Linked DNA regions of Mytilus edulis. The protein of the gene in region 2 purifies or fractionates together with the protein of the main gene of each other region. This does not show direct contact. Links are inferred from orthologs where the notes say so. Each region holds a gene or a part of one and is shown on either strand. Other genes may lie near its edges.

Region 1 (7,610 bases), about 79 Mb from region 2:
GGACTTTAGTGTAGACCAATTTGAAAACAGGACCAAAAATGAAGAATCTACATACACAGTTAGATTTGGTATATTAAAGAACCCCATTTATTCAATTTTTGATGAAATCAAACAAAGTTTAATTTTGGACCCCGATTTGGACCAACTTGAAAACTGGGCCAATAATCAAGAATCTAAGTACATTTTTAGATTCAGCATATCAAAGAACCTAACTGATTCATTTTTTGTCAAAATCAAACTAAGTTTAATTTTGGACCCTTTGGACCTTAATGTAGACCAATTTGAAAACGGGACCAAAAGTTAAGAATCTACATACACAGTCATGACAGTTAGATTCGGCATATCAAAGAACCCCAATTATTCAATTTTGATGAAATCAAACAAAGTTTAATTTTGGACCCTTTGGGCCCCTTATTCTGTTGGGACCAAAACTCCCAAAATCAATACCAACCTTCCTTTTATGGTCATAAACCTTGTGTTTAAATTTCATAGATTTCTATTTACTTATACTAACGTTATGGTGCGAAAACCAAGAAAAATGCTTATTTGGGTCCCTTTTTGGCCCCTAATTCCTAAACTGTTGGGACCTAAACTCCCAAAATCAATACCAACCTTCCTTTTGTAGTCATTAACATTGTGTTTAAATTTCATTGATTTCTATTTACTTAAACTAAAGTTATTGTGCGAAAACCAAGAATAATGCTTATTTGGGCCCTTTTTTGGCCCCTAATTCCTAAACTGTTGAAACCTAAACTCCCAAAATCAATCCCAACCGTTCTTTTGTGGTCATAAACCTTGTGTCAAAATTTCATAGATTTCTATAAACTTAAACTAAAGTTATAGTGCGAAAACCAAGAAAATGCTTATTTGGGCCCTTTTTGGCCCCCAATTCCTAAAATGTTGGGACCAAAACTCCCAAAATCAATACCAACCTTCCTTTTGTGGTCATAAACCTTGTGTCAAAATTTCATAGATTTCCATTCACTTTTACTAAAGTTAGAGTGCGAAAACTGAAAGTATTCGGACGCCGGACGACGACGCCGACGCCGACGCCAACGTGATAGCAATATACGACGAAAAATTTTTCAAATTTTGCGGTCGTATAAAAATTAACTATAACCACTGAACCATGAAAATGAGTTCAAGGTCAGATGAAACCTGCCAGTTGGACAGTACAATGTACATGTACACCTTACAATTCTTCCCTACACCAAATATAAAAGACCTATTGCTTTTAGTATCTGAGATATGGACTTGACCCCAAAATCTTAACATTGTTCACTGATCCATGAAATAAGTCAAGATTAAAATTACATAGCTAGTTTATCAATGATCAATTTTTTTGCTTTGAGTTGACATAACTTGATGATAAGTATTATTTGTTTAGGAAATACAAAATTTGATAATAATGGGACAAAGTCAACTATTACATTAGAAAAATTAAAAAAAAAAATCCTGAAAAAAACTCTTGCTTCTTATGAACTCAAAAGCATTAACTTTTTTTTCAGACTTTTTTTATTTTCATCTCATTTGTCATGAGACTTTGAGTAAATTATATGTTTATCAGTCTAGTAAAATATAGGAATGATCAAAATACCAATTTCATTTTCAATAATTCTTTGATATGAGAAATTTTTTCCTGATGCTTGTGTTTCTTTTTTTTTACATTGAATATATGACGTCATCACTTAAATAACGTCACAACTAAAATGTAAAACAACAGAACCAAATCGGAAACGTTATGGTATTTCCATTTCTTTTTAATAGATTTTAAAATAAAATATGTTTGAATTAAAAAAAATAATTCATACAGACTTCGTCCCCTTTCAAAGGTTATGCCTGCCTCATGTTAAATAATGTTTGCTATAAGCATAATAAGGGTCCTTTTTGCTAGTGGGCGTCATATATAATATCTATATACTTTATATAGAATTTGTTTCATGCAGTGTTTTCCCTAGGCTATTCATGCATTGCGATCTGATTTTAAAACCACGTTGATTAGATGGAACAACATTTAAGACTTCGATTACATAATAGAAATCGGGAGTTCAAATTGTTTTAATGACCTCACAGCTTCCAAATAGCCTTCCGTTGAACATAAAAAGTAAACCTTTTGCAGTATAAATTTCTACGTTTTGAAATTAGTACGACATGACATGGCCGATACATCATATGGACAACAATTCTTGCATCTTGCCTATATTTGCCATCGCAATCAGCATGAATGATCAGAGAGAAATTATATTAGTAACAAATGAAATAATCATAAATAGAGAAAAATGCACAGGCACTTGTTTCTATTCATTGGAAGACCCACTATCAACGTTTATCGTAAATATACATTGATAGTGGGTCTTCCAATGTGCCTGTGGAAAAATGGCCCAAAAAGCAATACACCTTATCGCGTTTTGTCTGCCATTACTGGATATAACACAGGTTCCTGTAAAATTTTGAGGTCATAAAACAAAATATCTGATGCTACAATGGAAAAGTGATTGTGTACGACGTCAAAAATTCAAGCGGCCAGGTCAGCCATGGTTAGCAATAAGCATTAAGCATAAAAGATTTATTTAAAGTCGGTTATACATTTGTACATACAATGTATAACAATACAACAAACGCTCTGTAGAGCTTTTATCAGACATAAGGTGTATAGAGATGTAGGACCCTAAATCCAAACCCTCATTTAATCTATATATTTTGACATTCCGTCCCAATCGGTATACATGAAGCATTGAATTTAAAAATCATAAACGGACCTTGCAAGACGAATAAACAGCTAGCTTTTCCAATTTTTTGTTCCTGGGGTATCCCCGAACCATAGCTTTCTTTTGTGCAATTCTTTGTAGATTGTTCGGTCTAGACATTTCGCCTGTCGTAGACTGTGTAGGACCTTTATTTGTTTGCTGTAAATCTGTTCCATTTTGAAGTGGATCGCTAGAATTTGCGTCACTCATTGTTTTATTTGTTTCATTTTTTTATGCAAACGCTTGTAACATTGAAAATAAGTAGTACTGTGCAGCTTCACATCACTATCCATGACAACAAACTAACAGAAACATAAAAGATCTAACCAAACACAACTAAATATTTTTTACAGTAACGCACCACAATTTTCTGAAATGAAGTAATTTTGGTGTTGATAATACCAGAGACATATTATACAAAAAAAAATCCATAAGTTGGCCATATTATCAGCAATCTATAACATTAGTATATGACTCTTATTATTTTCCAGATATGTTTCTTCTATTTGAATATTTTTTCTAGATTTGAAAAGTTCTTTGAATTTATTTTTTTCGCGGGACTCCCTGGCCAAAATTTATTTGCATGAGCCTTTTGCCTGACCGGGATTAATTTGACATGTGCTTCAGCAAAAATGACCTTGTAGTTTTGGTCATTGAAAACTCGGGAACCGTAACGATTGTGCGATCAAATTTTGATTTAATGTAGATAAATATCATAGGTTGAGCGTCCATAACCTTTTATTTTCTTTCAAAAACCGTTTCAGTTTTTCTTTTCTTGGCAAAAATACATGTAAATAGAGACTGTCATTCACGTAGATTTCGGCCGCCATTTGTTAATGGTTTCGAAAGAAGAAAGATAACTCAGGCTCGATAACGGACAATAACTCTTCAAGACAAGTTGTATAATACCCCCAACGTTGATGTGCGATAATGAACTAATTAAGATTATTTTTTAACTGCAATAATAATAGATGGGACTTCTTTACTTTATGACTTAACCCCAGTAATGCCTTAATTCTTCCACATGTGAATTAGATAAAGCTTTCCAATTCTGAAAAAAATAATTTTCCCTTCCCTTCTAAAACAACTATATTTTTTCCCTTCCCTTCTTTGACAATTTAAAAAAAATGAGAAAGAAAACAATTTGTTATATACAAATATTCATCTTGGTATCTTTCAGGTTTTTTTACTCTCTGTCAACATAATTTACTTCTGCGCTTCATACAAAATGTACTTCGGTCAATGCTTTTACACCCCATAATAAAGTTACAAAAAGAAGCATTCATTTTGTTATAACAAAGAAGGTTTTTGTTTATATTGGTTTTGGTTGTCAGATAGGGCACATGCTACATTTAAGCTTGTCCTCATTATTTACGTTTTTATTAGTGACATGAATCTGTCTAGTACTATTTTTTTTATTTATAGCCCCTTACAACATTAAAATGTTCTAAATTTAGTATCAATATTCCATTAGCACGTGTTCATAGTGTTGACAGGTACTCTAATTCATTTAAAAGCTGAGAATGGCAGCAGATACACAGCAAACCCACAGACCTGGCGTTTTTAAACAACAAAATAAAGGACACAAACATGGCAAACATAGAAGCAAAGGTTCATTAGAAAGAGAAACAAAAGGTAAGAAGAAAAATGACCGTAAATTTATAAGCCCACCCCAGATAGCAATACTTTGTTGGGCCAACATTGGTGATTGGTTGGCACAGTTGGTAAATAGTTGGCGTTGGCAGCACAACAAGAAACCGATGTTGGCCCAACAAAACTCAGCCAACAGTTATTTTGACACTATTGGCCCCTTGTTGGCCCAACAAAACTCAGCCAACAGTTATTTTGACACTATTGGCCCCTTGTTGGCCCAACGACTTTCCACCAACTGTCATTTTGGTGTTATTGACCCAATGTTGGCCCAACATTTTCTTACCAACTGTTATTTTTAAAGTAGCTTGCCCAACGATATTTGACTTACGTTATCCATTGATTCAGTGTAAGATCTTCTGACTGAAACTACTGAACCAATTTTATTCGAACTTTATTTGAATGATTCTATGTTATCATAGAGACTATAGATTGTGTTTGAAGGGCATTGAGGACTTAGTAAAAAATTAAAATAATAAAGTCTTCCCAAATAGGACTATTTTAAACCGTCTGTGCCAAGAGCTAGAAATTTTTTAGTATTTTGAATAATTCAAAAGTTTTTAAAACAGTATATTTATAAAAAAAACCAACATATCATTGATATTTCATGACAATATTGAGATATGAGCCAACATGGTGCCAACAATATGCCAACGTATTAAGTTCTTATCTCCCCGTATTATACCACAGATTTTTTTATTTTTTTTTAGATATTATTTCAAAGTGCAAACCAAAAAATGTGCTCTTCATTCTCTTTATCTAATATTTTCAAATCTGTGTAGTCATTTAAATGTATTTATCTTAATGATTGAATAATTTTATGCACAAACAAAAAATACTTAAAACCAGCCCAAAAAAACAAATAAAATTTGAGTATAGTTTCTGCAAGTTGTTAAACTTGTCAACTGAACTCAGCTGCTCATTTGACACGAGTGTAACATCACACTCTCCACATGACAGCCGAGATTGACCTGCAAATATATTATACATTATATACAAGAGATAAATATTTCATAATACATAACATGAAATGCATAAATAACATGTTTGACAGACTGAAGCCATCGTTGGCATACTGCTGTTCGACCAACATTGGTCCAACATAATTTTAGAACCAGACGACGTTGGTAGACTGTTGGCAAATAGTTGACATTGTTGGCAGATTGTTGGCAAATAGTTAACCTTGTTGGCATACTGATGTTGGGCCAACAAAGACCCAACATGTTGGGCCAACTGAGGGCCGATGAGCAAAATGACGTTGGCCCAACACAGTTTTCCAACATTGGCCCAACAATGTTGCCAACAGAATGCCAATATTGGCCCAACACATGTTTGCTATCTGGGACCTTTGTGGATGGATAGAGCTACTAAGTCTGCAATTGTCAAGAAACGTAAATCATGGAAAAAATATAAATATTCAAGAAATAATTTGTCATATATCAAATATGTGAAGGATCGCAATGAATGTACAAATACTGTTAAAAATGCCAAACTTAGTTTTGAACAAAAAGTGGCCTTAGAATCAAAGACTAATGTAAAGTCGTTTTGGAATTATGTTAACAGTAAACTCAAGACTAGATCAGGAATAGGTACGCTTGAGAAACCGGATGGTACTTTAGCATCCAGTACTGCTGACAAAGTTGAAGTTTTAAATAAGTTTTTTACTAGTGTTTTTACTCAAACGGAGGACTTGAAAGATTATGATACTAATTCAGTGTCGAACAATTATTTAAATGATATTAATATTTGTCAGGAAGATGTGATAAAGAAACTTAATAAATTAAAGACAGATAAATCTGCAGGACCTGATGGTCTCCATCCGAAAGTTTTATATGAAGTTAGACATGCAATTTGTTATCCATTGTTTCTAATTTTTAATAAGTCTATCAAAGAGGGGAAAGTTCCAGACGATTGGAAAAATGCCATAGTATCACCGATATTTAAGAAAGGGAAAAAACTAAAACCTGGTAATTATAGACCTGTAAGCTTAACGTCAGTGGTATGTAAGATATGTGAATCCATTATTAGAGACAATATTATGAAGTTTATTCTTACAAACAATCTTTTTACTAGTAGTCAATATGGCTTCCGTCCTGGTAGATCATGTGTTACTCAACTCCTAGAGGTTCTGGATGAGTGGTCAGAATTAATTGATAGTGGTTTTCCACTGGACTCGATTTTCCTTGACTTTTCAAAGGCGTTTGATACTGTACCGCATCAGCGTTTATTTTTGAAACTTGAAAAACTTGGAATAAAGGGATGCATTTTAAATTGGATAAAAAGTTTTCTATCTGGGCGTAAGCAATGTGTTCGTATAAATAACACAACATCAACATGGTCAGACGTTGTGAGTGGTGTACCTCAGGGAAGTGTTTTAGGACCAGTTCTTTTCTTAACATTTATAAATGATCTTCCTGATGTAGTAGAGGGCATAGTGAAAATTTTTGCTGATGATTGTAAAGTTTATTCTAAAGTCTCGTCAGATTATGAGCAAAGTAAGTTACAGGAAAATTTGGACAGATTATGTGAATGGTCAGATATGTGGAAATTAAAATTTAATGCTGCTAAATGTAAAGTATTGCATATTAATCCTGACAATGACCTGAAATATCGTTATACCATGTTGGATGAATCTGGAAATTTTATTGCATTATCTACAGTGAATGAAGAAAAGGATCTTGGAGTAACTTTCGAGTCTAATTTGAAATTTGAAAAACATATAAGTGATATTTACAACAAAGCGCAGAGAGTGTTGTCTCTTATTCATCATTCTTTTGATTACATGGATCAAGATATGTTTCTTACTATTTATAAATCAATAGTGCGTCCGCTGCTTGAATATGCGACATGCGTCTGGTCACCGTATCTTAAAAAAGACATCCGTAAACTGGAATCTGTACAAAGGAGGGCCACAAAACTGGTGAAAAATATTTGTCATCTTAATTATGAAGACAGGCTACGTTCATTGGGTTTGCCAACTTTGGAATATCGTAGGGATAGGAATGACATGATACAAGTCTACAAATCGTTGCATGGTATAGATGACATCGACTGGATGAAGCTATTTACTTTAGCACCATCTAATAATACAAGAGGTCACTCATTAAAACTGTTTAAAAAACAGTGTAAGACCACACATAGACTAAATACTTTTTCAATTAGAGTAGTGGATCAGTGGAATAACCTGTCTGATTTAACAGTGACGGCAAAGAC
Region 2 (6,988 bases):
TTAATTTAGAATGAAGTATTTCAAGTTACTGAAAATTGAGAGAAAGACAAAAGGGACATTTTGTTAAGTTTTCCTCACATATATACATAATAAAACTTCAGGATTTCTTCCACAATTAAGCTTAGGAAGTATAGAGCGCATGGTTCTATGAACTAAATAATCAAGTCAAATGGTTCTTCATTTATATTAAACATAATGTTAAAAATCCTTTTAATTGAAGCACGCCTATATGCTGCCATAGAGTTAAATAGGAATCTAAAGGTCAGCATATTTGTTTTAGCACAAAATCAAAAATATTTGTAAAGGAATTCTGATCCTTCCTTTAAAGTTTAGGAAGATATTCACTTGAAGCTTCAGAGGAAAAGACATTTTATTATTGCCTGATTTGCATCAATAGTTTTCATTGACTTTCCTGTTATTATTGTTGTGCTTGTATGTGGTGTTGTGTAAATTTAGCGCAATCAGATGTCTTTTTGTTTTTAGTGTGAAGTTGAATGTATTTGTCCTCTTTTCTACAGGTTTTAGAGCAGTTTACATCCTGGTACTTTTGATAGATGGTTGTCTCATTGATAATCATTCTTTATTATCACGCATAGACAGCTTTTTTTTCAGTACTGTATTTGAAATGCCATATTTCATACTCCTACCCTCCTATGGGGTATAAAAAGGTAAATATAACTAAAAACTTTGAACTTAATGCCCACAACTTGAAAAAACAAATCCAGTTATTGTTAAGAAATGTAAAAGACAATGAAAGAAGAACTGTTAAAATCCTATAAAATTCTATTAAGATTTACCATTGCATCTTTAATCTATCTACTTCTTCTTCTCCACTGTTATTGCATTCAGTACAGACCAAGTGAAAAAATACATCACCTGCCAATAACGATGGCTTTCCCGTCTTTAAACAATCTGATAAAAAATATTGTTTACATAATAACAGAACATGTATATGCTATCAGGGTTGTTCAATATAAGTATGGATGAGACTGTGAGAAGATAGATTAATTGATACATATTTGCTTTATGTATACTGTGGATTCATTTATTTTCGTGGGTACCAATTTTCGTGGATTGAGGAACTTTTGCATTTTCGTGGATATCTGATTTCGTGGTTTTGTCAAAGTCTGTATACAACCCAACAGCAAATTTGTGATTCGTTGAACATTTAAATTTGTGGTTCACTTGTACCAACTAAAACCACAAAAAATGGTATCCCACGAATAATAATGAATCCACAGTATTTGCAAATATTTCATGTATTATCCAAAATAAACAACATGCTATCTATACATGTATTGACAGCAAATACTGAGTTGCCCTCCTCTGGGTTTAGGATTTTCTCACTGCGTTGAAGACATTTTGTGGCATTGGGCTCTTTTCTACTCTTTGTTGAACTGTTGTCTCTTTGACACATTCCCCATTTCCATTCTCAATTTTATAAGTATTTTTGAAACCATAAAGGTATTGCTCATTCACTATAATTCATTTTTTATAAATTCATATTTTTTTTACAGAACTTAGGATTGTTCAGTGAAAAATAACATAATATTTGGTTAATGTTTGAGTGACATACATGTATGTAGTATTACATTATATTTGTGATTGCCAAATTTGCTTTCAATGGTGATACTGCAAATAAAGGATTTATAAATAAAATTGAATACACTCTTTATTACTCAAATTCCTAGTTATTATACAGTACGTACTAGATGACTTAATTGGAAATAACTCTTGGTGGTGAATTCTCAGTCAGGTGATTTTTCTTGATGCTCTAGATCTGCCATTTTGGTGGCAATGTCCCTTTCCGTCTTATTTAATAAAACCCTACTGTACCACATTTTCTAGAATTCTTCATTAACTCCAAATTTAATTAAAACTTTGTATTTTGAATTTTCTCTTCTTTTCAATTCTTTTAACATGTTTAACTGTCATTGACTCTATAAAACTGATAAATCATACCTATATGGAACTGTCGTCTACATTTCATACATGTTAACTTTGGAGTCTCTTCATCAATTTCCTTTACTTTACAATAACAATGTGTTGCCTCAGGTTCCATATTTAATTATCTAATCAATCATACTATGGTTATGTCTGTAACAAAAATTTTATTCAGAAAAATATGAAATAAGGAAGATACATTTAGCTACAACATGTATTAATTCTTTAGTGTTAATGCATTGTTGATCGAAAGAGGAAGAAGCTACTTGAAGTTAAAGAAGTAATGAAACCAGGGGCGCATCCAGAATTTTTGAAAGGAAGTGTGTAATTCCGCTAGTACATTCATTGGGTTGGGAGGCAAACAAAATTTTGGATGATTTTATGCAAAAAACAATTAATTGTGAAAACATTTAATAATCTTTTTTTTTTAGCCGTCAAACATGTCAAAGGGTAGTCCAAATAATTATGACATCTTGAAAGGCTATTATATTTTTTTCTTTGACGCCTTACATCGCAGGAAGGCGTCAAAGCAAAAATTTGAAATAGCCTTCCAAGACTTCATAATTATTTGGACATAGTCAAAGGGCAGATAGCCTTTGCCAGACGTCATAATTATTTGGACATAGTCAAAGGGCAGATAGCCTTGCCAGACGTCATAATTATTTGGACTAGATCACCACCAGAAACATTCTTATATATAAATCGCTATACATGTGTAAATTATAATTAATTTCCACAAAAGTTCTATTGTTATTTTTTAATTAGGTTGAAAAATGTAACTTTTCCTGTATGCCAATTGATTATTACCAAAAGATGGCAAAACCAAAAGAACCAATCAAAAAGAAAAAAATAGCATGACAAAAGACAAAAAAAGGGGGGTGAAACAGAATAAAGAAAATACATACAAGATTATTTATAATGTTTGATCATCAATATACTTGTTGACACTAAAAATAGTTGGTACTAAAGCATTTCCCTGTGTATATGAAAAGCAGATTGCAAACAATTTTGTTTTGCCGCAAAACCAAAACACCGGAAATTCCAATACTAAACGTAAGTACAAGTTCGGTGTAGACGTGAACGATTTTACGCCTGAGTGTGTATTATCACAGTCGCCTGAAGATTTAATAATTATAGCGAAAAAATGGGGGAAATAAAATATTTTTAGTAGTATTATATAGAATAATAATACTACTAAAAATATTTTATTAATACTACTAAAAATATTTTATTTCCCCCATTTTTCGCTATAATTATTAAATCTTCAGGCGACTGTGGTATTATGAGGGGGATAGGATATTTATCGGGACTCCGGGATCGGGTGTTTTTAAGCTCGGGATTTCGGGATTCGGGAATTCGTTTTTTTCATTTATTTAAATTCGGGACCTCGGGATTTCGTGTTCAAGTTTTTAAGCCAGGGATTTCGGGATCAGGACCCCTCAAACTCCGCATACACCTTATCGCTAATCCCGGCTGACCCGGCCGTTTGAACTTTTGACGTCAACAACAATCACTTTTCCATTGTTGCGTCAGATATTTTGTTTTATGACGTCAACATTTTACGGGAACCTGTGTGAGCAATGGCGGACAAATAGCGATAAGGTGTATTAATATGAATCTATTATATATAGTCTATATAATAAACTTCTCATATTCCAATTCCACGGAGCATTCAATTAAATAGATACTACGTCAAATATTTTTTGATAAAAGTAGGCCTTCAATCATTCAAGCACCTTTTTAGCTCATCTGGCCTAAAAGGCCATGTGAGCTTTTCTCATCACTTGGCGTCCGTCGTCGTCGTCGTCGTCGTCGTCGTCGTTAACAATTTTTCAAACATCTTCTCCTCTGAAACTACTGAATGGATTTGGATGAAACTTAGCATGATTGTTCCTTAGATTATCCTGCACAAAGTGTGGGCTTCGATTTTTGATCCGTCAAAAAACATGGCCGCCGTTACTTAAAATAGAACATAGGGGTCAAATGCAGTTTTTGGCTTATATCTCAAAAACGAAAGCATTTAGAGCAAATCTGACATTGGTAAAAATGTTCATTAGGTCAAGATCTATCAGCCCTGAAATTTTCAGATGAATCAAACAAACCATTGTTGGGTTGCTGTCACTTAATTGGTAATTTTAAGGAAATTTTGCAGTTTTTGGTCATTATCTTGAATATTATTATAGATAAAGATAAACTGTAAACAGCAAAAATGATCAGCAAAGTAAGATCTACAAATAAGTTAATATGACCAAAATTGTCAATTGACCCCTTAAGGGGTTATTGTCCTTTAATGACAATTTTTCACAATTTGTTCATCATATTTGCTAACTTTAAAAAATCTTCTCCTCTAAAACTACTGAACCAAATTCAACCAAACTTCAACTGAATGATCAGTAGGGTGTACAAAATAAAGTTTGTGCTTTATTTTTTATTTCGTCAAAAAACATGGCCGTCATGGCTAAAAATAGAACACAGGGTAAAATGCAGTTTTTGGCTTATATCTCAAAAACTCCAGCATTTAGAGCAAATAAGACAAGAAGTTAAAGTTTTATTAGGTCAAGGTCTACCTGTCCTGAAATTTTCAGCCGAATTGGGTAACTGGTTTTTCAGGTATAATGCCCCTGAATTGATGATTTTAAAGAAATTTTGCAGTTTTTGGTTATTATCTTGAATATTATTATAGATACAGATAAACTGTTTATAGCAAAAATGTTAAGCAAAGTAAGATCTACAAATAAGTCAATTTGACCAAAATTGTCAATTGACCCCTTAAGGAGTTATTGCCCTTTAAAGACTTTTTTCACAATTTGTTCATCATGTTGACTTACTTTAAAAAATCTTCTCCTTTGAAACTGCTGTATCAATTTCAGCCAAACTTAGGCTAAATGAGTTTCAGAGTATCTAGTATAAATTTTATATTTCATTTCCTTGTATGTCAGAAACATAGCTCCTATGGCTAAAATAGAACATAGGAGAAAATGATTTTTTTTTGCTTTTGAAGAAAATAGGACGATTCAAAGAACATTTAAATAAATTGAAAAGCCAAAATAATCATTGATGAGAGATTTAACCAAAAAAATAAATTAAGGTGAGCGATTCAGGCTCTTGAGAGCCTCTTGTTTTATATGCAGATTAAAAGGACATTGATATTGCCGGGTCATATTGACGGTAAACACTTACTTTTAGTAACAGACTGAGGGAACACCACTGTATCTGTATCTGTATGAGTGCGTTGTAAAACTATTCAAGTTAACAGCATGATTTAGAGCTACGTTACCTGGCCAAAAGTGTTCGTCACCTGCCACTTTCTTTGCTCTATATTTCAAATAAAAACACATTAAAAAAAAATATACATTTTGAAGACATTTTGGTTGGATTGTTATAAGCAGCCACAGACACTTGTCTCATATCCCCCCCCTATATACCTTAATATAACACAAGGTACTTAACTCGCATTCTTTGAAAATGTTCACCCGGTCGCGAATTTCTGTTATATGGCGATTTCTCGGTTCTCAACCCCACTAAAACTTGTTATGCCGTAAAATCAATATTTTTTCCAACACGATGGTGTATAATACGCATACAGTGATACTTTTGTTGTCGGAATCATCCATAGCAGGCCTGCCCAAGTATGTCAATCGTAATTATTTCGTCTACCTACACACAGGCACTTGCCTCAGAAATGTTTTTCCCATTATGCCATAATATAACATTATATTATATTAAGGTATATAAGGGGACAAACCTAGTCAAAGATAGAAAATTGTCTAAACAATATTTGTTAATTTAGTCATCGTTTTGTGAGGGGGGGCAAGGGGGGTTCCAATAACAGCAAAACAGTAAATTGATTTGGCGTAAAACAGATAACAAGGAATTGAAAAGGGACAATAACAGATAACAGTAAATGAAATTTTAAAATCAGTCCGGTCCAGGACCAATACAGTACAGTCAGTACATCTTATTATATAACTGGTTGTATGGATTGCTAGGCCTTAACAGAGACAAATATATTCACTTATTTTAAGTATATTTTGTCGAGAAATTAAATATTTGAAGCTGTTAAAGACACATCTTTATTTGCAGCAACAGTTTCTGAGCTTCACTTTTCATTATGTGAACCAGTTAAAAAGCGATCGAAAAATTGATAGTCAGGGTTCTCTTTCATGTAAATACAAAGAGGAGGAGTAGCACTTCTAGTGTGAATGCTGAAGAAAAAGATGTCGTGTAATTCCCAAAGGCAACATTTCACTCACATGCTCAAACAAATGATACATTTATACTATTTTTGTATTTTGTAAATAAGTATAAAAGGAGATGTGGTATGATTGCCAATAAGACAACTATCCAAAAGAGACAAAAAGACACAGAAATTAACAACTATAGCTCATCATACCACCTTCGACTATGAGCAACAAACCAATACTGCATAGTCATATATAAAAGGCATTGAAAAGACAAACGAAAAACAATCAAAACGAGAAATTTAACAGCTTGATTTATCTAAAAACTAATAAACGAAAACAACCACTGAATTGCAGGCTCCTGACTTGGGACATGCACATACAGAAAGTGGCGGGGTTAAACATGTTAGTTGGTGTCTATAAACCTTGGACAGTGGTGTAACAGTACAACATAACGTTTATTATTTGGTCATTGAATTACAATTATATACGGTGTATCAAGGCTTTCTTTTTATAAAAAAATCCATATGATAAGTTATTGTAAAAGTTATACATTGTTGAAAGTGATTTTAGTCAAATTTCATATACAAATTGTCATTTTCACAAATATATATATAATTTGTACAAAAAATGTGTACAAAGTCAAAATACAAATTATAATTTTTAGAAAAATGTGTACAAAGTAAAAAAATAAATATAATTTGTACCTATTTTATGTACAAATTATAATTTGTACAAAATTTTACATCTAAAAACATGTTCACAGACAATGGAATTTATTACAAAGAGTAACAATAATGTATACGGGAATGGTCCTGGACCTCACTGTTTTTAAATATGTTTATGTGATGTTTGTTACTGGA
Region 3 (7,096 bases), on a different chromosome or scaffold from region 2:
TTTTTTATAGAAAATCCACAGCCTTTAATACAGAGATTTTTGTTATAAAATTTGAAACATATATTACTCACTTGCTTTTCTATGATGTGCTAGTGTTTGTTTTTTACAAAAAGTTCTAACCAACCTGTAAATTCCAAAATACCTCGTGCAGAGTAACTAAATTCGAGCGCACCCTAAAAGGTGTACTTGATTTGGTCCATATTTTTACTTGTTCTAACCAATAACTACATTAATAAACTTGTTTTAAGGAAATCAATGCTAGCACTGCATGTAATATTCCTATATCTATCGGTCATCAAATTGCCAAATATGATAGAACAAGGATAATGGCTGTGGATTTTCTATAATATTTCCATATGTTTAGCATACACCTTATCGCTATTTATTCCATTCCGGATAAGTTCTAAAATTACACAACTTTTTCATCCAGTTGAAGCTAGCTGGGACCCTGTTTAAACAATTCACCATGCATGATACTTTTTAATGAGACCTGTTTAAACTACCGTAAATACTTCAAACAAAATATTTTTTTACTTCAATTTTTATTTCGAAAAAGGTGGATCATACAATATCAAAGTTTCTTGATGATCACTTTCTAAAGTTTTTTCTTCCTCAGCTCACTACTGATGACCTCCATTTTTCGGCCGTTGACCTCAAACAGGAAGTTGTATAAATAAAATTGAGAAAGGAAATGGTGAATATGTCAAAGCGACAACCACCCGACCATAGAGCAAACAACAGCCGAAATCAACCAATGGGTCTTCAATGTAGCGAGAATTCCCGCACCCGTAGGTGTCCTTCAGCTGGCCCCTAAAATATGCATAATAGTACAGTGATAATGGACGTCATACTAAACTCCGAATTATACACAAGAAACTAAAAATTAAAATCATACAAGACTAACAAAGGCCAGAGGCTCCTGACTTGGGACAGGCGCAAAATTGCGGCGGGGTTAAACATGTTTATGAGATCTCAACCCTCCCCCTATACCTCTAGCCAATGTAGAAAAGTAAAAGAATAACAATACGCACATTAAAATTCAGTTCAAGAGAAGTCCGAGTCTGATGTCAAAAGATGTAACAAAAGAAAATAAATAAAATGACAATAATACATAAATAACAACAGACTACTAGCAGTTAACTGACATGCCAGCTCCAGACCTCAATTAAACTGATTGAAAGATTATGTCTTCATCATATGAATATCAGGTACAATCCCTCCCGTTAGGGGTTTAGTATCATACTATCATAAAATATATGAGAAGAACATAACCCGTGTCATGCCAACAACTGTTTTTTTAGAAATAAATGTGTTTAGTTCCGATGCAAAGACCCTATCAGTGAATCAATGTTAAAGCCAAAATATGCAATCTTTAATGACCTGACAACAGTATCGTAACTATATCCCCTTTTAATAAGTCTATTTAAAGGTTTTGTTAGTTTCTGAGGAGAATACTGACATTTTTGTGCTTTATAAAGAATATTTCCATAAAATTTTGGATGTGAAATACCTGAACGTATAAGATGTCTGCATGTTGAGTTATATTTACGAATTATTTCCTTATACCGGTGATAAAATTTAGTAAATGTTTTGACCAGTTTGTGATATCGAAAACCCTGGTGTAATAATTTTTCAGTAATACATAAATTTCTCTCGCTAAAATCTAATACATTGTTACATACACGAGCGAATCGTACAAGTTGAGATATATAAACACCATAAGATGGTGACAAGGGAACGTCACCATCTAAAAATGGATAATTAACAATAGGAAATGAAAAATCATCTCTTTTATCATAAATTTTTGTATTAAGCTTCCCGTTTATGATATAGATATCAAGATCGAGGAAAGGGCAGTGGTCATTGTTATCATTTGCTTTATTTAAAGTAAGTTCTACAGGATAAATTTCTTTAGTATACATACTGAAGTCGTCATTATTTAGAGCCAATATATCATCCAAATATCTAAAAGTATTGTTAAATTTTTGTATCAAATGTTGTTTTGATGGGTCTTTGCTAATTTTAGTCATAAATTGTAACTCATAACAATACAAAAATAGGTCCGCAATAAGTGGTGCACAGTTAGTCCCCATTGGAATTCCAATAACTTGACGATATACGGAATCTCCAAAGCGAACAAAAATGTTATCAAGTAAAAATTCAAGTGCATAAATAGTATCAAAGCATGTCCAATTGACATAGTTCTTTTGTTAATGACTGTTTTTCCCGGAATGGACTAAATAGCGATAAGGTGTATTGAAGCAACACAAGGGTACATAATCCTTAATGATCAATGTTTAAAAGTCACAAATATGTGCTAATATTAAAATTTCAAGTGTTATTCGGTCATTACAAGTGTTATTCGGATAACAACAGTGTTATTCGGTCATTCGTGTTACCCGCTAATACACCTTATCGCTAATCCCGGCTGACGCAGCCGCTTGAACTTTTGACGTCAACAACAATCCCTTTTCCATTGTGGCGTCAGATATTTTGTTTTATGACAACAAAATTTTACGGGAACCTGTGCGATTTCCAGTAATGGCGGACAAATAGCGATAAGGTGTATGATAGGGGAGTTAATTTCCAGTACTATACAGATACAGAGAAAGTAACCATTTGACGCCTGATGGTAAAGGGCATTACTATCCTCATAATAGCTATAAATGAAAGGGAACTTGACATGTCGTATGTTCTGTAATAGACACATCTGTATGAATATATGACTTATTTTTGGCTGTTTGACTTTTGGTTTCGTTGTGGCTTGTGCTTATGTTTACAAACTTTGCATAAATTTGGTAAAATAAGGTATTTTTTAAGCTGTGAGCAATCAGTAAGGAAGATCTTACGTTTACGTTTAGCTCTTTGTTTGTGCTGTTCTGGTTTTATTGGAATTGATCTATTGAAACTTCTACTATTCTGTCCCTTTCATCTTCCCGCTGTACAATGTTATGACCATCAGCACATGGGTACTGTAATACGCATGCCCAGTAGCAGAATCTCGTTTGTTTGCGTAGTCGATTTTCATAAACTTTTTATTTTATATAAGTGAAAAAATTAATATCTTAGATTTCAGTCAGCATTGCTAAAATGTGAAAAATCTTTATTCGTTTTATTTATTGTCTTTCATGCTTTGCAATGTTGACATTTTTTTCTTTGACACGTGACATGTATGGCCAATCATTTCACTTCGGTCGATACGTGAAGACGTACTGATCATTTGTGTTCGAAAGATCAGTCGAGTTTGATGCATTCTACCTCCGTACAGAAATTTCTTTTAAAACATATTGTTTCATAACATAGCGGAGAAAGAGTTAATGATATTTTGGACATTATTTTAAAACAAATTTAACTGGATTTTCACTAATTTTAAAAGTTGTTCATGTCAGGTGACAGCTTTTATCCAATCAAAACCTCTGTTTTTTGTCTGGTCGTATAAATACCATTTCTAACCGGGATGGTCGTTTATGTTGATGACTGATACGCTGTGGGTCCTGTTGAATCATGTGGATTGAATGGACATGACGAGCCATCCGACACTACAAAGGTTTCAGCAGAACACCCCAGTAACCAGTGCAGGGTACTTTTATTAAATTTTTTGTTTTAAACAATTTTAAAAGTGCAAAAAACTTAAAAAATGTCAGTCAACATCACAAACGACGCATAAACCGCCATCTTTTCATGGCTGTGTTCACATCGTCTAAAGAAAAATAGCGTTATATTTCATCTATCTGGACACATTTTGAGATTTTTTTGCATCTTTTTTGGAGTTTGTTAGTCGAGATCAAACAATTTTGATCTTCAACTTCTTCATAATGTAGAACTTGCGAAATATACACGGTAGTGAATGCATTGATGAATTTTCCGCTGATTATGCACTTATCAAAGACATATGTACCAAAAGGAAACAAACATACGCGACAGAACGCGAAAATTATGTAAATAGATGTTGTATTTATTTAATATGATAGTTTGTGTTTAATTATTATTGAAGTAATAGCCCTTGCATGGTCTTCTTTCGTTTTGTGAACGAGTATTTTTCCACGTGAAAATGGCGTCTTCTCACAAGAAAATGACTCATTCATTGTTCTAGTTGGTAGTAGGAAGTCCTTTGTTAATATATATATGTCGTTTAAGGGATACTTTTTGATCCCATCATATACATACCCTATTATACAATTTGATAAACAACGTTTCATTGTTGACATGATCATAATTTGTATGATTTGCAAGTGCTTCTCAATCTCGCCTCAAATGACCACTACTATAGCCATATGGATTATAATTTGGAATAAAACCAAATGAGATTTATATTAACTATCCATTACGGGACTTCATCAGATATGTATTTATTTTTATTGATCAAATATAGACAATTTTCAATGTTTTCAGAAGCTAAGTTACTTCATTATTTGCTATATAATATTTATACACCTTATCACTATTTATCCACCAATACTGGACATCACAAAGGTTCTCGTAAAATTTTCACGTCATATATTATATATCTGTTGCCACAATGTAGAAAACAGATTGTTGTATGACGTCAAAAGTTCAAATGGAGCAAATAACTACAAAGCTATATTTGTATGGCAATTTAAATGAATTACTTTTAAGTTATTTATATGAACAAGAAATGCTTGTTGACTCGAGGTCATTGACACTTGTAATGGTTCAGAAAATTAACTTTTGCATTGTAGTGTGACATTTTCTTATGTAACATCTTAATTTTTGGGGTAAATGTCTGATCAGTCTTAACTCAGTCATAAATAATTGATGTAAGAAGATGTGGTACTAGTGCCAATGAGACCATCCAAAGTACGGTGTTCAACACAGGGCCTTGGCTCACACAGAACAGCAAGCTTAGCTATGAAGGACCCCAAAAATGGCTAGTGTAAAACCATTCAAACGGGAAAACCAATGGTCTCAGCTATATGAAAAATAAGACGCACTTTAATATGAACCACATCAGTAAATGGCAAGTACTGATCATGAACATCAGATTCCTGACTAAAGTCAGGTGCAAACAAACGCAACGTGGTTCAAATGTTTTAAAATATTAGGCCTATGCTATTTTGTAATCATTTCTTAAATTTGAATTTCAATGAAATATTATTGCTCAGCTGTCGTAAATTAAATTTTTTAAATTCAATACATAAACATCGCATGACATTGTCTTATAATTTCTCTGTCTAATAATTTCCAAAAAGAGGGGCCGTGTCTACGGATAATAGATGAAATTAAATCGTCATTTTACAAACAAGATAAAACAAATCGGCATAGCTCTTTATCAATTTCACGAAACTTGGTTTATACTGATCTTCAAGCACGAAAACTGATTGGAAACACTTCGTTCGGAAATAAGTTTCAACATTCGTGTCAAAAACGTAATAGACTCGTACACTGGAAAAACGGAACAATGAAAAATACGAGAAACAAACTTATTCTGTAATTGTTTTCAAGCACAGGTTTCATTTTGCAAAAATATTTGTGCAAACAACATTTCAAGGTCAGTTATGATTGATTTGTCTATTTTAGATACATACACATCCAGATTATTTTTTCACAACACAAGGTGTTATCAATTCTGTAAGTGTTTAAATCATTTCATTTTAAAAAAAAATATTTTATTCATTTTTCAAGGATAATATATTTGTAAGGGTCGGCAGGAATAAAAAGCATTAAATTTCGATTTTATTTTTACTCTTTTAATCTGAAAAATAAAGTCGGCGGATCTGTAAACCAACAAATTAAAAAACCCTGGCCTTATGTCAAATTCAGCTTTCAACTGATCTGAAGTTGCATGTTTCTTATGTAGCTTTCTTAATTTTAAATAACCTTTCAAATACATGTATCAAATACGATTATATTTTGAAAGATATGTTGATGTTTGGCATAAATGAAAACGAAAGAAAACTTACTAGTTTGGGGTGAAATCCATAGCACCCCATTAAAGTAAATGGTCTGTACTGAAATGTTTTGACTGCATAAAAAAAATTGACAGCATAGCTCCTAAGAACATGTTTTAATTCAATTCACACAGGCCACAAAGTTTGGGTATATTTAATATTGTAAGAAAGAGAATAATTGCAAATGGCCCCCTTATCCTAAAGGAGCATACTCATTGCAATCGAAGAGAGACTTAATATAGAGAGAGTATATTTATTTTTCAAGCTAACCATTCATTTTCTCTACATGATCATCTTTGTTAAGTTTGGGTTGCTTCTAATTGATTTGGCATGGTCTCTATCCATTTACATTTCAAATGAGCTCTTTCTGGAATTTCTCCGTACAGGCATGTTTACAGGTATCCATAAATTCACAGAGGAGTGGTTTCATATTTGTCTACTTTACAACGATTTATAGAAAATATGACCTACTTCAAACTGCTGTCAAATTGTTTAACCACTGAAATTGGTTCGATAAAGTCTTGCTCAAAAGATTCTGTACCCGATTTGTTTGAGACAAAAAGTTGAAAAAGATGAGTTATCATGTCAGTTGTGAATATCCGCTGCATCATCCTCGATGAAATCATTAAAGACATCATTCCATGTGCCTGAATTTGTATAAACAGTTTACTATTGAACTTTTTGTTTGTAATTTGTCTTAAAATTGACAGAAGTCGACATCGTAAAGTACTCCTTCATAACTTCATGGATACCTGTAAACAATTTCCATGTGCTTTATCAGAAAACGGTCATATGAACGCTTGACGGGAAAGAAAGAAAAACTTAACTTAAATGTGTAATTGACCTAGACTTAAATCAATTCTGGAAAGGACATGAATTTCCAGATCTCATTAATAGAAGTATTAAAAATAAGATCTTCACATTTAAAGCAACAAAATTATCACAGTTGGGGGGGGGGGGGGGGGGAGGTTTCAAAGTCAGTCGGTAAACTGCAAACATACCATATTTTGATTTAAGCCTTATCAAAACCTATCGATCAATAAAATGTGAAAAACAACTGCCATATTCCTAACATGGTTCAAGCATTTTCATTAGAAACTGGTGGGTTAAATCTGGATTATATGTAGCCAGGTGAACCTACCACTTTTATGACAGTTTATAGTTTCTTATTATTGACAATTTGGTAA
Region 4 (7,579 bases), on a different chromosome or scaffold from region 2:
GTAGAAATATTGACTAAATTATCGACTGTTCATGCTCTTGGCAATATTTGAAAGATCAAGGATTTTTCTTTGATTTGTTTGTAGATGATCATGAAAGATAATGTTCATTGTGTAAAGTTTTATCGATATATTAAACTTAATGTAATAATATTCTATATTCTTGTTGAACCCAAAATGTATATCAAACCTGTTCTTCTTCTTTTTTCTCTTTCTTTGATCGTCTCAAACTTTCTACAAATGATATGAAAAACATCAACTAGTTGTATGTAAATGTTAATTACCAGAGATGACCAAATCTGAAATCTGCATAAGGTGACCAGAGGTAACCAAATCCAATATTTACATAAGGTGACCAGAAGTCACCAAATCTAATATTAACATAAGGTGACCAGAAGTTACCCCATTCTAACATATAAAGTTTAACAGATGTTAACAAATCCCATTTCTGGTTAAGATGACCACATGTAATCAAATTCTATATTTGTGTAAGGTAATCAAGAAACATAAAAATGATTTGTTAAATCAAGCCTAAGTGGCCATTTTACCAGAAACGATTGCAAGTTTTAAGTTCAAAAAGAATAATAGTTGCAGCATTATATAAACATAGTGTATGTTTCCATCATATTAAAGGTTTTATACAATAAATTAAATGCATACATACCACTCTCATCTCCATTTTCTGGGGACTTCTGAAAAAAGAAGATTTCCTTCTAGTCTGTGATTCGAACATTCAAAAAAACGTGTCATCACAAATGACAAATCATGCAAAATGGATGAAACGAATATTTTGCTTTGAATGACTTAATTAAACTTAAGTTTGTGTTATTCGTTGTATTCAATTGCTCGGTATGTTGATTTTACTTACAGATAATACAGACGGTGACAGGCTCTAGATATATGGTGTATTGCTAAATAGAAAGAAGAATGGTCTATTTTTAGTTTTCTATTTTTAGAACACCAATATTACTACACAGAAGAGTACTATTTATAGGGTGACCAGTGGGCACCGTTCAGCGTAACTATTATCCTTGTGCACACCAGATATGATTAGAAAGATCTAGTCTTTGCCTTATGTAACTCCGGGCATAAAAAGGACTACATAGGTAGGTAGGTAGGTTTGATAATGTTCCCCATGATATCTTGTCACCAAGCAACTAATTAAAAATCAAAGCGCTGTAAGCACTGTAGGCAGTTAACCAAAAACCAAGTCAAACATAATTATGAAAACTGTGGCAATATTGCTTCATTTTTTTTTTAAAGATTTAAAAGAACAAACATTAAACATTCATATATAATTGTACATTTATGTTCATTTAATGAATTAATCATTAAGGCAAATAATTCATATTTTATCAAGGTTTTCAATAGCAACGTATATATCAAGTATATTTTTTTCATGGTCATGAGTCTCGAGTCAGCAGTGGTACAAATTCGCAATGATTGCAGTTCTTCTAGTTGATCGTAATTGTTCGTATTAGTTGACTGTTTGTATTTTAAGTTGACTTTAGTACGAGCTTGTAAAATATGAATGGACTTGCTTCGAATTCCCTGGAAAGAAAACTGAGTTTGTGTTCTACAGTACAAAAGTTATGAGACACAAATCAGACACAAATGTTTACTACTACAGGGATCAATAGTGAGGTCTGACTGACCTGTTCATAGTAAATGTAAATGACTCCCACCTTCAACCCAAGTCCATGATGTCTAAGTTCGGAATAAAATGACAGGTGTTAGGTCTAGCAAATTGATATGCATATGTGACGCCTATGAGATTGACCTTGTATGTCATTCAATCTTTTTGAAATGACAAACAGGAATGAATATGGTTTAGGAGTTGGTATCTCAATCTTTTACAAGTTCTCAAAACACACACAAGAGGGTGTGAGTGACCCTAGGGACTACCCCTATTTTTCATTTGATTTGTTATATTGTCCCATATATGAATATATATGGTTTAGGGGTGGGGGACCCCAGTGACTTCCCCTATATTTCATTTGATTTGTTATATTGTCCAATACATGAATATATATGGTTGAGGGGTTGGGATCTCATCTGTTTCCAAGTTATCAAACAGGATTGGATAGGGGTGACCCTTAGGACTCTCCCTATATTTCATTTGATTTGTTCTTTTTTCCCATACATGAAAATATATGGTTTAATTTAAGGCTATGATCTCGACTATTTCCAAGTTCTCAAACAACAGGAGGGTTGGGGTGACCACAGGGACTTCCCCTATATTTTATTGATTTGTTATTTAGTCCCATACATGAGTATATATGGTTACGTGGTGAGGATCTCGACTGTTTCCAAGTTCTCAAACATGAGGGTGCAGTGACCCTAGGGACTCCCCCTATAATTCATTTGATTTATTATATTGTCCAATACATGAATATATATATGGTTTATGGAGGGGATCTCAACCGTTTTCAAATTCTCAAACAGGAAGGGGTAGAGTGGCCCCACGAACTCCACCTATATTTCATATTGATTTGTTATATTGTCCCATACATGAATAATTTTCATGATATGGTTTAGGGGTGGGGATCTCGACCGTTTCCAAGTTCTCAAACAGGAGGGGTGGGATGACCCACAGGGACTCCCCCTATATTTCATTCGATTTATTATATTGTCCCATACATAAATATATATGGTTTAGGGGTGGGGATCTCGACTGTTTCAAAGTTCCCAAACAGGAGTGGTGGGGTGACCCCAGGGACTCCCCCTGTATTTCATTCATGCGCGTAGCTACGTTTACGTCAAAACGCCCGGGCGTACACTTGAATTTTTAAAATAAAACAAATATTCGACATAGAATAAGAAAAACTGGTCAAAAGCACATCAGCCTTGTGCTTCTTTTTTCAATGGATTGTAATTTTGAATAAAAAGGGACTAAATTTACTCAAATAAATCATTTAATATATTTGTTCGAATCTTTGGTAAAAGTCTGAATCTACTATGAATTCTACGTACTTTTCTTATATTTAAAGCAATTCACTATCTGCTCAGATTCGATATGCTGTTTGTATTTTTGTCGAGCCAGTGATTTATGTCCCAAAAGCGAGACAACATTTAGGTTCCGAATGTGGATAAAGTCTTTTGAATGACTTTCCGTGAAATTTTACGAAAGTTGGACAGAAACTGTTTATGAACAAGAGAGTATTCAGAGCAATATAATAATGCAATTATATCTTTAATTTTCCCGCATTTTAAGGACAAAATGTATTTCTTTCTGCAATTAATAAGTGGTCGCAGTTTGGGCTTACATTTTGTTATTTCTCAATTACATTAACTACTTGTCGAACCTTCATCGAATTTTATGAAAATGCCGAAGAAGCTTTTTTTTCTATTACTTATTTCTAAAGCTAAAATTTTGAAAGCATTTTTTTCGTTAATTTTCTATTCTTTTCTGATAGACAGCAGGATAGCCGGACTCTTCTTTACGCAATTAATTGTTTTACATGCTCAATTTATAAACCTTCATAGATTGTCGTGAAATATTCCAGATCAAGAAAAAAAATATCAAAAGAAAATTTTAGATTTTTTTTAAATCCCTTTAAAGGAACGATAAATTGATTCACTTTTTGTGGGAAGAAATCCTAGGTGTTCCAGAAGTTTTTTTATATTGCACCTCTTAGAAATATTTTTTTTTCGTGTTCATTAAAAGGTGCTTTTGTGGATTGTATGCTCACTCACGGCACCATTTAAACTTATTTAAAAGTAATATTGGTTTGGACGTTTTCTGTAAAACCAATGACCATTAGGCTAGCTTCCAGTTTAACACGATGAATAAGTTAACATATTACAAGATTTAACCAAAACAAACAAACCATTTACGGATTCAAAAGTATGTTGCTATCAATGATTTTTTACTGACAGGAATCATTACGGTATCTCATTCTCGATAGCTTTCGGGGGCTTCGTCCCTTTCGAACCCACTACCAGCAGGTGCTTTAACATTGAGCGGTTGACACCCCTCATATCCCTCGCCAAGGTTCGGGCGTACACGTAAAAATGACCCAGCTACGCCACTGGGAGGTATACATGATAACGTGATAATTAACCTCCTTTGTGTATATAGGGAAATGCTGAAGATTTTCTATAAAATGTCAATATGTTTAGCTTTGAAAAAAAGATACAATCCTTAAAGAAGTATACCATGGGGCGCATAAATTTTTAATGCAAAATCGGTAGACAATTAAATTTTTGCTCAAAATGGCCTGAATAGAATAGAATAGAATAGAAACATGATTTTTATTTTCCAAATTACAGGGCCCATAAAGGGCATAAAATCAGATACAATATATTTCTCTTGCAACAAAAGTTTCTCATTTCTGGATTTTGTTTGTTCTGGGAACAGTATATCTAACTGTTAATATATATATGTTCCTGGTTTTTTTTAGTAAACAATAACATCAAATGTTCTATTTTTGTCAAAGTAGGTTCAGAGACATATATATAATGAGTATCTATGTCTCTGGTAGGTCTATCTTATTTTACAAAGTTGGAGTGGGAGTTGGGGTGACCGAGACCTCGTAAAATCCGGAAACAAAAGCCGAAATTGATTACACATTTATAATTTTCTAATTACCTCCCTTCTCTTCCTAAACAGAAGGAAAGAAAGAAATGTTTCATTGATTGCAACGTACTATTTTAACAAAGCCCTTGTAAGAATATAGAACTCTAATGTATGTTAACGAAATATATCCCAACAATGAATGAATGCTTTATATAAATCCAAACGAGCGATTGACAAACAAGAACGTAATGGCAAAATATCAAACTCGAAGCAACTGTGGAAATCAAAACAAACATGTAAAATGTATATTTTATAGTTCATTATACATATCTTTGTAATAATAAGGCATATGCTATAATTGTTTGGGGATACAGTTGGTATTGTAGCCATTTTGCATATTTGCAATACCATACAATTATAGCCTTTGTATGAGGTCGACAGTACCTCGAATGACCGAATAACACTGTTAATATCCAAATTACACTTGTAAAGACTGAATAACACTTGAAATTTTTAATATTACCACATATTGGTGACTTTTAAACATTGATCATTAAATTATAGTATATTATCAATGTATTTCATAACTTATAAATGATTTATACTTACTTAATGAGTGATTTTCTAAATCACTGGTTTAAGTAACATTATTTCCATAAAAGTTGGAAGTAAGAGTTGTCTTTCTTTAATAATCACCTATTTAAGTAGTACAAATTAATCACTAGAAGAAGTGATTTAATCTTATTGTAGCTTTAAATAAAGAATACAAATGATCCAGGGACTAATTATGTTTCTAAACTTATCAGAACCAACATCTGTGTTGTTTAGGATGACCAGGTCATTTCAGGTGATGACCTTGTACTGAATCTAGGATAATGACATTAAAATCACTTGTTTAAGTATCATACCTCAATTTCCTTCCCAAAAATCACTTATTTAAGTATCATTATTTTAATAACCCCCACTAATTTCAACACCTGCGAACAGTGAAATTTTTATCGCGAACAGTAGAATTTTATTACATAATCTGAAAGATGAAACCTTGAACTTTACAGGAAAAATACTCCCACTGCCTGGAAAAATCTGTTATGAAAGTATCAGTTCATTATGTAAAGCCATTATTATAGCATTTTTTCAACTAAAATAGAATTTTCAGCTAAATGATAGCATCAAAGGCATAAACCTTACTACTTAAAAGAAGCAAAAAGTTCATTTTTTTCAATTTTACTAATTAAAAGATATTATTTAAACCTATGTGTTTAAAATTTTGAAAAAACTACAAAATCCCAATTTGTGACAAAACTTTGAATTTGCTACTCAAATAAGTGATTTAAAAATCACTTATTTCAGTAAGTCCCCTGACTGTAGAAAGAAGATTAGTTCATAACAAACTTTTAAAATTTAGTGTGTACGTCCAACATGGTGACCACAGACATCACATTGGCCGCCATGTTCTATTCTATGTTTTATTAGGATAATAACAGTGTTATTCGGTCATTCGTGTTACCCTGAGGTCGCTACAAGGATGTATTCTCTATTTTCTATTCTATTCTAACATATAGTGATCACCTTCAACAAATTGAAGATGATATCACAGGAGGAAATATTGACCTGAAAGAAGTATATTGACAGAGGACGAAGTCCTAGGTAGATATACTTCTTTGGGTCAGTGTATCCTGTATTGACTTCATACATAGACTTGGTCTTTGATTACTCTGACATCCAACGGATGTTTTGCCAGACAAGCTGGGGCCATGGGACGTCAGAGCTTGTCCCATATCAAAAATGGATATTTGCCCATCCAAAATAGATGCGCTGCTTCTTCGCTTCTGGTGCCAACAGACGGCCTTGGAATTATATAAATCGGGTATCAATTTGTTCATTTTTTATTAGCTCACCTGACCTGAAAGGTCAAGTGAGCTTTTCTCATCACTTGGCGTCCGTCGTCCGTGGTCTGGGGTCCGTAAACTTTTACAAAAATCTTCTCCTCTGAAACTACTGGGCCAAATTTAATCACACTTGGCCACAATCATCCTTGGGGTATCTAGTTTAAAAAATGTGTCCTATGACCTGGCCATCAAACCAAGATGGCTGCCATGGCTAAAAATAGAACACAGGGGTAAAATGTATATTTTGGCTTATATCTTTAAAACCAAAGCATTTAGAGCAAATCTGACTTGGGTAAAATTGTTGATCAGGTCAAGATCTATCTGCCCTGAAATTTTCAGACGAATCGGATAACCTGTTGTTGGGTTGCTGCCCCTGAATTGGTAATTTTAAGAAAATTTTGCAGTTTTTATATGACCGCAAAAATTGAAAATTTTTTGGTCGTATATTGGTATGATGTTGGCGTCGTCGTCTGCGTCGTCGGCATCGTCGTCGTTGTCCGAATACTTTTAGTTTTCGCACTCTAACTTTAGTAAAAGTGAATAGACATCTATGAAATTTTGACACAAGGTTTGTGACCACAAAAGGAAGGTTGGGATTGATTTTGGGAGTTTTGGTCCCAATATTTTAGGAATTAGGGGCCAAAAAGGGCCCAAATAAGCATTTTCTTGGTTTTCGCACTATAACTTTAGTTTAAGAAAATAGAAATCTATGAAATTTTAACACAAGGTTTATGACTACAAAAGGAAGGATGGGATTGATTTTGGGATGTTTAATTCCAACAGTTTAGGAATTAGGGGCTAAAAAAGGGCCCAAATAAGCATTATTCTTGGTTTTCGCACAATAACTTTAGTATAAGTAAATAGAAATCAATGAAATGTAAACACAAGGTTTATGACCACAAAAGGAAGGTTTGGATCGATTTTGGGAGTTGAGGTCTCAACAGTTTAGGAATTAGGGGCCAAAAAGGGGCCCAAATAAGCATTAGTCTTGGTTTTCGCACCATAACTTTAGTATAAGTAAATAGAAATCTATGAAATTTAAACACAAGGTTTATGACCATAAAAGGAAGGTTGGGTTTTATTTTGGGAGTTTTGGTCCTAACAGTTTAGGAATAAGGGGCCCAAAGGGTCCAAAATTGAACTTTGTTTGATTTCATCAAAAATTGAATAATTG

Evidence for each region.
Region 1: the proteins of cysteine-rich protein 2-binding protein-like (region 2) and histone acetyltransferase KAT2A-like purify together in Drosophila melanogaster (affinity purification with mass spectrometry; 4 studies listed by BioGRID, with this or other methods). This does not show direct contact. The link is inferred for Mytilus edulis from reciprocal best matches to the Drosophila melanogaster genes Atac2 and Gcn5.
Region 3: the proteins of cysteine-rich protein 2-binding protein-like (region 2) and WD repeat-containing protein 5 purify together in Drosophila melanogaster (affinity purification with mass spectrometry; 4 studies listed by BioGRID). This does not show direct contact. The link is inferred for Mytilus edulis from reciprocal best matches to the Drosophila melanogaster genes Atac2 and wds.
Region 4: the proteins of cysteine-rich protein 2-binding protein-like (region 2) and protein Dr1-like purify together in Drosophila melanogaster (affinity purification with mass spectrometry; 4 studies listed by BioGRID). This does not show direct contact. The link is inferred for Mytilus edulis from reciprocal best matches to the Drosophila melanogaster genes Atac2 and NC2beta.

What each region holds. Positions count from the first base shown.
Region 1 is NC_092344.1:36,818,473-36,826,082, forward strand, and holds the start of histone acetyltransferase KAT2A-like, read right to left. Parts: upstream 3,016-7,610; 5' UTR 2,958-3,015; coding exon 2,760-2,957; intron 1-2,759. Other genes in the region: pre-rRNA-processing protein TSR1 homolog, read left to right, coding at 4,271-4,382.
Region 2 is NC_092344.1:116,011,999-116,018,986, forward strand, and holds the start of cysteine-rich protein 2-binding protein-like, read right to left. Parts: upstream 3,023-6,988; 5' UTR 2,850-3,022; intron 2,098-2,849; 5' UTR 2,063-2,097; coding exon 1,963-2,062; intron 913-1,962; coding exon 798-912; intron 1-797.
Region 3 is NC_092345.1:49,812,753-49,819,848, reverse strand, and holds the start of WD repeat-containing protein 5, read right to left. Parts: upstream 3,002-7,096; 5' UTR 2,850-3,001; intron 1-2,849.
Region 4 is NC_092345.1:62,860,549-62,868,127, reverse strand, and holds the start of protein Dr1-like, read left to right. Parts: upstream 1-4,576; 5' UTR 4,577-4,664; intron 4,665-7,579. UniProt on the Drosophila melanogaster protein: Bifunctional basic transcription factor. Activates transcription of DPE (Downstream Promoter Element) containing promoters while repressing transcription of promoters which contain TATA elements.